Linked DNA regions of Xenopus tropicalis. Each later gene encodes a partner of the first gene's protein in a complex. Links are inferred from orthologs where the notes say so. Each region holds a gene or a part of one and is shown on either strand. Other genes may lie near its edges.

Evidence for each region. Proteins that work in one complex are often made in the same cells at the same time.
Region 2: the proteins of aplnr (region 1) and apln are in contact, whole or in part, in a cryo-EM structure (PDB 8XZG), measured with the Homo sapiens proteins. The link is inferred for Xenopus tropicalis from reciprocal best matches to the Homo sapiens genes APLNR and APLN. Residues at the interface, in NP_005152.1 of Homo sapiens: Tyr35, Phe78, Trp85, Tyr88, Thr89, Tyr93, Ser106, Ile109, Phe110, Met113, Pro163, Val164, Arg168, Gln180, Cys181, Tyr182, Met183, Tyr185, Glu194, Glu198, Leu201, Gly202, Ser205, Tyr264, Lys268, Tyr271, Ser275, Cys281, Asp284, Leu285; in NP_059109.3 of Homo sapiens: Arg66, Pro67, Arg68, Leu69, Ser70, His71, Lys72, Gly73, Pro74, Met75, Pro76, Phe77.

The regions. Positions count from the first base shown.
Region 1 is NC_030677.2:143,793,545-143,799,275, reverse strand, and holds aplnr (apelin receptor), read right to left. Parts: upstream 3,231-5,731; 5' UTR 3,159-3,230; coding exon 2,064-3,158; 3' UTR 975-2,063; downstream 1-974. UniProt on the Homo sapiens protein: G protein-coupled receptor for peptide hormones apelin (APLN) and apelin receptor early endogenous ligand (APELA/ELA), that plays a role in the regulation of normal cardiovascular function and fluid homeostasis.
Region 2 is NC_030684.2:52,325,328-52,330,815, reverse strand, and holds the start of apln (apelin preproprotein), read right to left. Parts: upstream 3,844-5,488; 5' UTR 3,746-3,843; coding exon 3,679-3,745; intron 1-3,678. UniProt on the Homo sapiens protein: Peptide hormone that functions as endogenous ligand for the G-protein-coupled apelin receptor (APLNR/APJ), that plays a role in cadiovascular homeostasis. Functions as a balanced agonist activating both G(i) protein pathway and beta-arrestin pathway of APLNR.

The DNA of each region.
Region 1 (5,731 bases):
GGACTACATTTGCAAGGTCATGCTAAATGTTCTAGTTCAACAACATCAGGAACCTGGATGTTTGACACCCCTGATATAAAGTGTTGCTCTTGCAGCCCCAGAGTGGCACTGTCTGCAAATGCTGGTTTGAGAGTGCTATAAGGCATGATGACTGCTGTAATTTCCCTTTAATCGTATCCCCACAGTTATGCATATACCTGAATGGCTTGAGTTTATATCAATAATAACCCCTTCTAATACCCCTTGCAATGCCTTCCAGCTAACCAACCCAAAAATGACGTAAGGCATTCCTTTTCCTTTGAAAGGTTTCTTGTTTCTGGGACCTATGACACTGCACTAATATTTATTAAGCTACTACAAAATACTGTAGCACAGGAATGTTGGTGCTCTTGAATCATAGTAAAACCCCTCAGTGCTACTAAAGTATGCAGATACATGTAAAGCAAATATACAAGGCCACATGTGGCACATACTGTCGCACAAGTACTGTATTTATTCTATATTCCTGTGCATATAACACACACCCCCTTTGTGCAGTGTTTTAAATTCACTGCTGCAGTTGCAGATAAATGACAGACATTGGCCTTTACCAATTAAAATGTCTTTTACCTCATTTAGAATTCTAAGCTGCGAACTGGTAAGCCAAAGGGGTTAAGTGTGAGAAGGGAAGTAATGTCCTTTTCTGAGCTGCCCACTGGGATTATCATCTTTCACCCATTCAATATCTTACAACTCTACAAGTTAGAAGGAAATCTAGGAATCTGCAGGTCTGTGGGAGGGTCCAGGAACAGCATTACCAGGATGGGCAGTAGGTTTTTTTTTTTTTAAATCTGGAACTAAAATTTGTGTTTATAATGGAGGTCTTATACATTATGCACATGCCTATGTGTTCTGTTATAAAATCATAGTTTCAAAACAAACTGAATTTTGGAATAAGTGTAATTCTTGTGTACATAAACAAGACATGGAAACAATTCAAAGTACAAATGTTTTATTGCATCAAACAACGCAGTTTTATCAATGATCAGTTAAGGCTCCCCCTCTTTGAGGGAATACTTTACATATAGATATATACATATATATGTACATACAAATATGTATATATGTGTGTGTGTATATATATATATATATATATACATACACACGCACACACATAGATACAGGGTACATATGGATAAGAGGCAAATGACCTACACCAGTCACAGAATAATAGCATTCAGTAGTCCTTTATCTTTGGTTAATGGTTTGCAGTTTTATTGTCTCCCATAGTCTTCCCTTTTGCCATGATGTCTCTACATATCTAAATCCACAGTTTTAGTGGCAATGCTGCATACCTCAGAGTATAGGTGAACTACAATTCCCAGAATCCTCAGTCAGTCACTGGCTGTTTGGGCACACTTTGAGTGATAGTTCACTAAAGCCATAGGGGCATAAAAGGAAATCTACATTTAACCCTACAAGTTGATTATTTGCTTCTTTATCAACTGTTCTTTTACCTGCTTTTAACCAGTTTACCTCCAGTTCTATGACATTCTCACAAGGCAGTGAATTGGTTAAATAACATTGCAATTACATTGCATTCTGAAATGACCATTAACAGTGTTAAAAGTGTAAGCTCTGTGATATCATACAAGTGCTTTAACAAGCAAAATATATACAGGAAAGTAAAAAAAAAACATTAGCAAATACAAAGAAGAAATCTAGCAATATACAGCATGTGTTAACCCATTGGATACCCAGTTACCTCTTGCATCAATAACAAATTCAGTAAACTGCATCTCCCACCCTGTCCAACCAGCTCTCCTGTTTTTTGGAGAGGGACTGAGTAAGAATGTCTCATTCACTAAGGTGTGTCTGTTATTCTCAGGAAAAGCCAGACATCCACTAAGTGGGGGCATTTTACAGACTCCAGTGATATGATCCAGTAGACTGTGCAAGTCCCTGTTCTGTAATCAGCAGATGACCTTCCCTTTGCAGCAACAAGAGATAACGTTCAATTAACCCTAAAAGTCTTAAGAAAAAAGTCTCTGCCCCCACAGCCCATCAAATTTCCCTTTTCCCAATCAGACTTTTGTTGCTAGCGAATGAATTTCAGATTTTTGAGTCTGTGCACTTAAACTGGAAGAGGTGTTGCTGAGATGTCCTTGGAGGGCTTTTTTAAATCCAAAAAAAAAAAAACATTGGGAGCGAAATCGCAAGTCAAAGAAGGCATAGAGGAAAGGGTTTAAGCAGCTATTAATGTATGCCAAGCAGGTGGCATAGGGGTGCAAGCTGACAATGATGTTCTGTGTGGAGCAAGACAGTTCCAGGAAGCCCATGAGGTCTAGAAAGTGAATGGTTTTCAGAATATGAAAAGGCAGCCAGCAGATAGCAAACACCACAACCAGAGTAATAATAATCTTAAGAAGCCTCTTTTTCTTCTGTTCCTCCTTCTTCAGGTTTTGGAAATGCATGGTCACCTTGCCACCAATGAAGCAGTAAAAGATGGTCATAAGGAGCAGGGGCAGCAGGAAACCTGGAACTGTGGTAAGGATGCTAAGCCCCCCAATCCAGAAATTTTCATTCTCCTTACTTGAAACACCACTGAAGTCCAGGTCACAGATGGTATTATTGCCTTCTACACGTGTGTCACGCAGAATCAGACTTGGGAGTGCCAAAAGCCCTGAGAAGAGCCAGATAACAGCCAAGGATACAAGTATGGAGGAGCGAGAGCGAAGTTTAGCACTGGAAAGTGAATGAACAATGGCCAGGTATCGATCAAAGCTGAGGCAGGTGAGGCAAAAGACACTGGCAAACATATTAAGCAAGACCAGATAGCTGCTGAGCTTGCACAGTGCAGAACCAAAGGGCCAGTGAAAGCCTAAAGCAGTGTATGTGGCCCACAGAGGCAGTGTTACCACAAAAGCCAGGTCAGCCAGTGCAAGATTACCTATGTAGGTGTCTGCAGATCTCCTCTTTGGCTTGGCCTTCCATACTGTAAATATGACCACTCCATTGCCTGAGAGTCCAAGGACAAAAACGATCATGTAAAAGACAGGTAGCAGAGAGTAAGAGAGATCCCAGTCTGTTTCATCACATGGTGGTAGTCCACTCTCATTTGTGTAATCATAGTAGTCGTATGAAGGAGTAGTGCTGCTGCTGAACTCATCTGTTGCCATCTTTGAAGGCTGAAGTGAGGAAGCAATGTAGTCTTGTTCTAGAAGCAGAGCAGAGGCCTCCAGTCTATATAGTGATGCTGTGAGATATGAAAGCTGCCTCCACTCAAGTTCTTTTAAGAATCCCCTGAACTCCCCACCCCCTAAAAGACAAATTAAAGGCAAAAGACCACCCACTGACATCAATCAGGAGCCTATCCATATTATTTCAGCTCCACCCCTCTCATTGCTTGGGCTGTGACCCTCCCTAACTGGGCATAGCCTTACCTCCCCCCTAACACTCCACACCTCTGACTACTGCTTGCATGTGCCCAGAGACAGCATACATTATAGATGCTCTGTGTGGATATCCCTTAAATACAAGTTAAACCCTCTAAGATAAATATGTGTATATTTGTGTTTTATTGTTCGCTTTGTCTGAAAACTACTGAATGTATTACCCTTAGAATGCTCAACTATCACTCTCTATTATCAGGCTCTCTATCAAATGTTTTTTCTGTGACTTTTTGGTGGCAATTCCTTTTTTAAATATGCACAGAAAATACAGTATGAAGAGATACTGAAGTGTCTTTGTTTTTTCCTTCCCAATATACATTGGAGGTTTCCAGTCTCCATTTGTGTGTTTTACAGTCTGTTTGACACCTCTGTCTCACACTTCTCTCTCTGTCTTTCATTCCCATTTCATTAGCCCTCTGCTTGCACAAATTGTTTCAAGTCAATAATAAGGCATCCCCAGCTGTGTACAGGTTCAGCAGCATTGCACTTAATAGCTTATTTCTACCCAGGGACCCACTTTTGATGTCATAATTAGACAAGGATGCCTGAATTATTGCAGAAAAATAAATGTACAAATTTCTTTATATTTCCTCAGTTCAGCCACAATTAATTATTTGTATATAGTAAGAAAGACATTAGATTGTATGGTATGTATAGTATAGCAGGATAGTAAGAAAGACATTACATCATCTGATAAACATTCTGCCATTCAGATACATAAACATGCAAAGGAACAAAAGAAGGAGTACAATTCTGACATAAGGTCACACACACGCATGCTATACAAATGTAAAAATGTACACTGAACATGCCCAGACACACTGCTACACACACAGATTGTAAGCTCTGTGGGACAGGGGCCTCTTTTCTCTTGTCTCTTTAACATTTAAACTTGAATCTAACTGTGTTTTGTATTTATCTTATTATTGTATTTACATCTTGTTTGTTCTCTTAATTAATTGTTCAACTGTAAAACACTGCATATACAAGTAGCTCTATATAACTCAAAGGGATACATTCACACACACACAATCATTGATACTGTAAATGTATTATTCTATGTTGTCCAAGGAAAAGTATTCTTATACCCATTCCATCAGCTTCATAATATACCCTACATGCTTGCTGCACTTATAAATGTCCTAAACCTTTGATAGTAACTTCTTCCTTAGGAGGATTCTGAGTGTTGTAGTTCAACAAAAGGGTGGAGGGCAGCAGGCTGGACCTTACTGATTTATGTCATCCCCCCACCCCCCATCAGATGGGGCTTCCTCTTCTCTAACTCTGTTCCTGCATGGGTGAAATCATGGTGCCTTCTTGTGCTAACAGACTCTTGCACATTTTCCTTCAGCTAAAGCCACTTCGGCCATTGCATTTGTCTATGTGGCTCTAACTGTAACTTCTAATGTGGAATTCAAATATCATTTTTTTATTGCATTAATGTTTTATTCTAAATACTGGAAACTTAAAGTGTTATTTTGCAAATATTTTGACGATGACATTGGCCATCTTAATTCCCATAAAATGGTGTTAATTCCTGGGTCTAAAACAAGCCTGGACGTGTATGTTTTCACACCTCATTCTCTTTAATGCACCTTTCACAGGTTATTTTTGTGTAGATGGCCTGAAGCATACAGCCCATTCATACTGAAGGATCCAGTACCAGTTGGAGAATTCTAAGGTGTGAAATGGCTTTATTGACTCTGAAAGAATCACTTTAGGAAGAAGATGTTCTGCCCAGACAAAGCTTTGATGTCTCCTGTTGATTTGCCCAAAGTATCAGCTGTTATACTGTGAATATTCCAAACACAACGGGTTTGTTTTCTTCCATGGATTAGCCCCTTTTGGCCTATATCACACCAGACATTTGTCAATCATAATGCAGGTGACTAGCCATGGGTTGCTTCCAATGGACCCAACTAAGAAAATTCAGTAGGAATCGCTGTCATATTGATCACTGAAGGAAGCAGAGACAGTCAGACCGATTGGAGTGGTGACACAGACCTTAATATATGTTCTAAATATGTAAAGTGCAATATTATGTTATTTAGTGCTCCTAGAGGCAGAAGTTGCTCCTTATAAATAAAGAGAGAATCTAACAAATATATTTATTTTTGCCCAGAAAGGTGGAGGATTTTTGTTTTGCAGCATATATATCTGTATGTGATTTAACATGAACGCAAAAGAGTAAGCAGGTTTATAAGGACTTATTGTGGGCACCGAATATTCCTTCACTACAAGGGCGTGCTGGGCATTTGGAATATCACATTTGGCATAAAGCAGCAGTACTAATGGCAGCT
Region 2 (5,488 bases), on another chromosome or scaffold:
TTCTGTAGCAAAAACACCAGTTTTTTGCAGAGCAACAGCACATTATATTTTAATTACTTTAAAACACTTTAATTTTTTGATGTTACTGTTCCTTTAAACTGAATGGGATACAAGATAAGGAGTTGGTTTGTGGCTGGAAAAGAAGTATCTTTTATCTCAGTGTAATACAGATACAAACAGAATATATATGATGCTTATCCATACAATGTTGCTCAGATTTCTCCATTAATGGACAGCACACACACATTTGATTCTATCTAGCAGATAATCCTTCCCAGTTTGGGAAAGAGCAGGGTGGTTTTGTGCATTACTGGGTTTCAGTTGGGTAAACATAGAATGAAGAAGATAAAGTAGAGGTCACACACAGTGTCAGTGTGAATCTCTAGTGTAGCCTCAGGGATAATTGTTTGACTGGGGTCTTGCTGTGTTTACTGTTTGTGTGAATGGGGGGGGGAGTAGGGGGGCTATGGTTTAGTTTCAATTTCTCCCATTGAGAGTTTTTTTATAACAATGTATTTGACATCTCTCTATCTTTAGATATTGAAGACTAATTCTAACAATAAAATGTGGATGAAGCATAGGGTTGCTGCCAATGGAAATAGTTCTATTCAGTTATGCTCACATTTATTAAGACCTTCAGTTGCTCTTTATAATGATATGATCCCAGTACCAGCACTTGCTAGTCCACCTCAAATAGATAAAGTCCATGCAATATTAGGTTTCCTTTCCAGTAGGCGCACCAGGCTGTGACTAACTGCCTATGCTATTATATGAATATTGAATATTGAGTCTAAAGAGCTAAGCCTTGGCTTTGCCAGTGAGCGTAAGTGATTTTGCCTTCCTTGAAAAAAGAAATGAGCAGCATTTATAGTCACCTACTTCCTATTAGTTCCTGTTGTACACTGGAGTATGCCAATGCCTACAATAAAGAGACATTTCTCCAAGCTTTGGGTTCACAATGCAATGCAACATCATGGGCATGTCAGCACAGTGCAGTTGCTTGAGGGTAGTATGGACCATATCAATGCAGCCTCAAGGTAATTGTTTAAACGACTGGATATGTTGGTTCTTTGAAGATAGTGTACCTTTTACATATGTTAATTTGCTTGTGGCTTCCCTATCTTCCCTATCAGTCACGGAAACCAGTTTCCTTTGCAGTCTGCCCTCTTCCTATGATTTCATGTCCTTTTCATGAGTAAAAATAGTTTTGTTGAATTAGGGAATGGACAGAGGGATGTCTGAAACTGCAAGAGCTGAACTTATGGACTTTCAGCATGTTACAGGTCCTGATCTCCAGAGTGGGACTGCCATGCCACCAGCAGGAAAAATAAGACTAGATGTGGGAGCAGCTGGGTGATTGTGCCTCAGGCAGCAAATAGTCTTGGACCACCCCTGTGTGCTATGAATTATTCATTGATGCTTAGAAGTAATGTAGCCAAGGTAGGGGGTTAATTCTCAAAATGAGCAGAACAATAGGTCACAACTTATGTCTTTGAACTGACCTTCCGTGGCTGACCCAATGCGCATACATTCATTGTGCTACAACAGGTCACTTCTTGAATTGCCCAAATTCATCCTAAGATCAGTAATTAGTACATGCCCATTAACCCCTTGGCTGCCATTGCTAAGCGTAGAGAGATAATAAGCCTGCAGCCAGTCATACAGAACAATAACCAACACTTCCATTTGTAAAACTTGTTTGCTTAAGGATTAAGAGACTTGGCTGCATCTTATTCAGTGTGGGTTCATGATGTCTGAGTAAGGCAAAGTCTGTCTAACAACACATTTGATTTACATATAAATGATATCAGTGTATGTGACTGTAATATTGATGCTGATTAAGACTAATAGTTTTTTTATTATAAGGTTTACTGTATTCCAAAATAAGTGCTTTATAATACTACCAGTGTGTGGTTGACAGTAATGTTCATAGTCTTGCCATCTACTAGTTTTATTTGCTTTTCTATCCCACTTGCTACATTTCTCTTTACTCCACAAATGAATTTTAAAGCACCCAAGGGCCTTGTTGGTGTGGGAACACAGAGTGATTAAGAGCTTCAAACTGTAGTCGATTTACTGTAGGCAAAGCCAACAACCCTCCCGCATACTGACCACATGGCTGGCATCATATCATCATCCAACATTCAGTAATACTGATAAAGAAAGTCCTAACCATATCAGTCATACCCTTTCAAGGGTCCATCTGTGTCAGCTCAATCCTACCCTATACTGGTGAACATATCAGTTATTGACATACACACAGCATGTCATTTAGGACAATAAATGTAATAATGCAATCCAATTTCCTAAGTGATGCCTCTAATATGCCGATAAATTATGAACTTGGAGATAAAAAGGAGTTGCCCTCGTTGAATGAAAATGGCCCCCTGAGCAACACTAATATCACTAGGAGCCAGTAAGCCCCACTTCCAGGTGTGCGGTAAACACCATCGCATACCACAACTTAGTGTAAACAGGTGACATCCTGTGATTTATTAACTCCTCTATTGACACAGCCCCTATCTGATCTCAGAGAGAGCTCTTTTATCAAGGTATCCTGCAAGAATCTGAGCCAGGAGCAAGTGCACAAGACACTTTAGCCAGAAAACTAAATACAAGCATTATTTTCCATCTTACAACTGAATATAAGCAGGACCATGCATCTCCCATAGTAATAGCTATAGCTTAATATAAGGCTTTAGATATATATGTCACCAGATTAAACATAAAAGCTACTGAATGCCTGAAACATGTAACATACAATACAATGCATTCTCACGTCTACAATATTGATATTTCCATATGCATTCAACTGTACATTCAGCTGAACTTTAAGATTAGCCATTAGTTAATACCATGTGCTGCAGGTATCAGTACAGCACTTAATATGCAGTCAGTCAGTGCTGCAGGTATCAGTTAACTCCAGGCTTAATGAAAGATCTATGCTGTAGGCATTAGCTAATAAAGCATTAAACACAAGGTCAAGGTTGCAATTAATACCACATTTAATAAAATATTTTAGATTAGTTAATGCTAGGCTTAATTTTAGATCTGCGGTGGGAGTTTTAGAGTTAGTCATTTACATATGCCTAATAAAACATCTGTGCTGCAGATACCAGTGAATACAATGCTTCATAAAACATCTGTGCTACACTAAGTTAATGCCATGCTTAATTAAACATCAACACCACAGGTAATAGAAAATACCATGCTTAGTAAAAACTCTGTACCGCAGCTATTAGCTATTATGCCTAATGAAAGATATACATTGTGAGTAAAAGTTAATACAGTGTAAAAGTTAATACAGTGCTAAATTCGTTATTCTGCAGGTTCTACTTGTGCCTTTTTTGCACCCTGTTACACCAAAATGTAATGATTTTGCTTTTGAGCACAATACTTATGCATCTCATTTTTAAAGTACACTGGTTATACTGGTATCTGATTCCTAGTAGTTAATAATTAATCCCTTATTGCATTTCTTCTAACTCCTAATGCTAAACTGTTAGCTCTTCAGCACAGCTCTCCTTGCAGTATTTCTTTATAAATGTTGCATGTGGCTACAATGACTGTTAAGTACAGGGTGCATTATAGAAATAAGTATAAATATAGAAATATAGTTTTTATTTACATGATATATATATATATATATACACAGTAAGGTTCAGAAAGCAGACTCACCTCCAAATGCTGAAGTCAAGGTTAAAATGAAGAGCAGAAGCGCCAGTGCCCAAAGTCTGAGATTCATGTTTCTTGTGGCTGAGTGCGAGCGAGCAGAACTGTGCTGAATCCAAGAAGCGAGCTGTGTGTATTGGAAAAGCCTAACTCCTTCCAGAGGGAGCTCTAGTCTGCCAGAGAATGCTCTCACATACTACAGGGGCTGCGTTTTGTATTGGAGAGTCTGGCTTGGTCATGTGGCCAGCAAGGAAGAGGGGGGGGGGGAATCCTCTCCTCTATTTTTTTTTTTTTTACACCCATAATGAATTGAACTGAGTAACACCGCATAGGACTAACAAAGCACTTGGCTTTGACAAACATATTACAATACAAACTGGATGCCTGCCAGATTGTTTGCAGCTATTTAGATTTCAATTTGAAAATATTCAAAACATAAAATAAAACTGAATGCAAACCTGGGTGAATTTGACTAGGGGTGGTAATTAAAATACACTTTAATATAATATGGTCATTATAAGTGAATGCAATTTTCATACATTTATTTGATAATCTTTCAAATTATAACCCCATTCCATTATTTTGTAGGTTCTGCTGATTTGCAATCTGGTTTATTTAAGGATCCTCAGCCCAACATATATATATTTATATTTAAAGGAGATTTACCAGGGAACTTGTGCCAATACATTGCACCTGGCACCAATTACGTTTTGACGAAATGCGGGTAATTGTGTACAATGTGTTGCACCCAAGGGAACTACTGCTTTAAGGACATGTTATTTTCAGGGTTCACGTGGCATTGCATATTGTGCCAACACACATCCAATAAATCCCATATTAACTTTTTCCTAGGAATGCTGGAAGCACCAACCAGGGAAAAGCAACACCACAACTTCAGTACTTTATATCCTCATTGGTAAATCTTATGAAAGTGTTGGAACATTCTATATTAGCCATATTAAAGAGAAAGAGAAAACATTGTTCATTGTGAGTAAAAACATGCCAATCTGCATTAGTAAGTTAGTCCATTGACTTATTTAATCAAGTGCATCTTTAAAGTCTTCAGACAATACACAGTTGTAAACAGTATATATATTTTATCAAATATTGCTTGCAGGTACAATATATATTCTGTACATTTGACAGTTTTCTGATGTCCATTATTGCCCCATTGGGATGTATTTTCACTGGGAGTGTTGACTTGTCAAAGTGCTGGGGGACAGGAAAATGGCATTTTGTGCCTCATGGAGTAAGATATACAGGTAAATGTTTGTCTTGACTTTTCTGTCCAGTCATAAAAAATATACCCCCTGAACCAGCAAAAAGACATATCTCTGTGAGATGCTGAAATATTATGGAGCTCTTATACCAGACACTTCAGTTACCAGAGCTCATCTGTATCCCCTGTAAGTGAAAACAGCCTGTGTTCTACCAAGTGGAAATGTAATTAAAGGTAACAATAACCAGTAATGTGGTCACTCATTATTATTCACAAACCAGACTTTATTATGGACCCACTATTAAGCACTGCTACATTTGATTCCACTGCTGAGAAAAATAGCTGTCCTGATTTGAAAATATGCCTGTTGCTTCCCTTTGAGTGAATCTTACAGCCAGCATGAATAGGATACTTCTGATAGAAAGATACTTGGGGGCTCTCCAACACCGGACAAGGTTCATGGATCTAAGATGAGTTTTTATTGCTTTTCGTACATATTACAGTACTGTAAGCCACAAAGCAATTCCCGCCCATCAAAATGTTATTAAAGCAGAACATAATAGTTGTTAAAACATTTCCTGCATGAAGGCACTTATA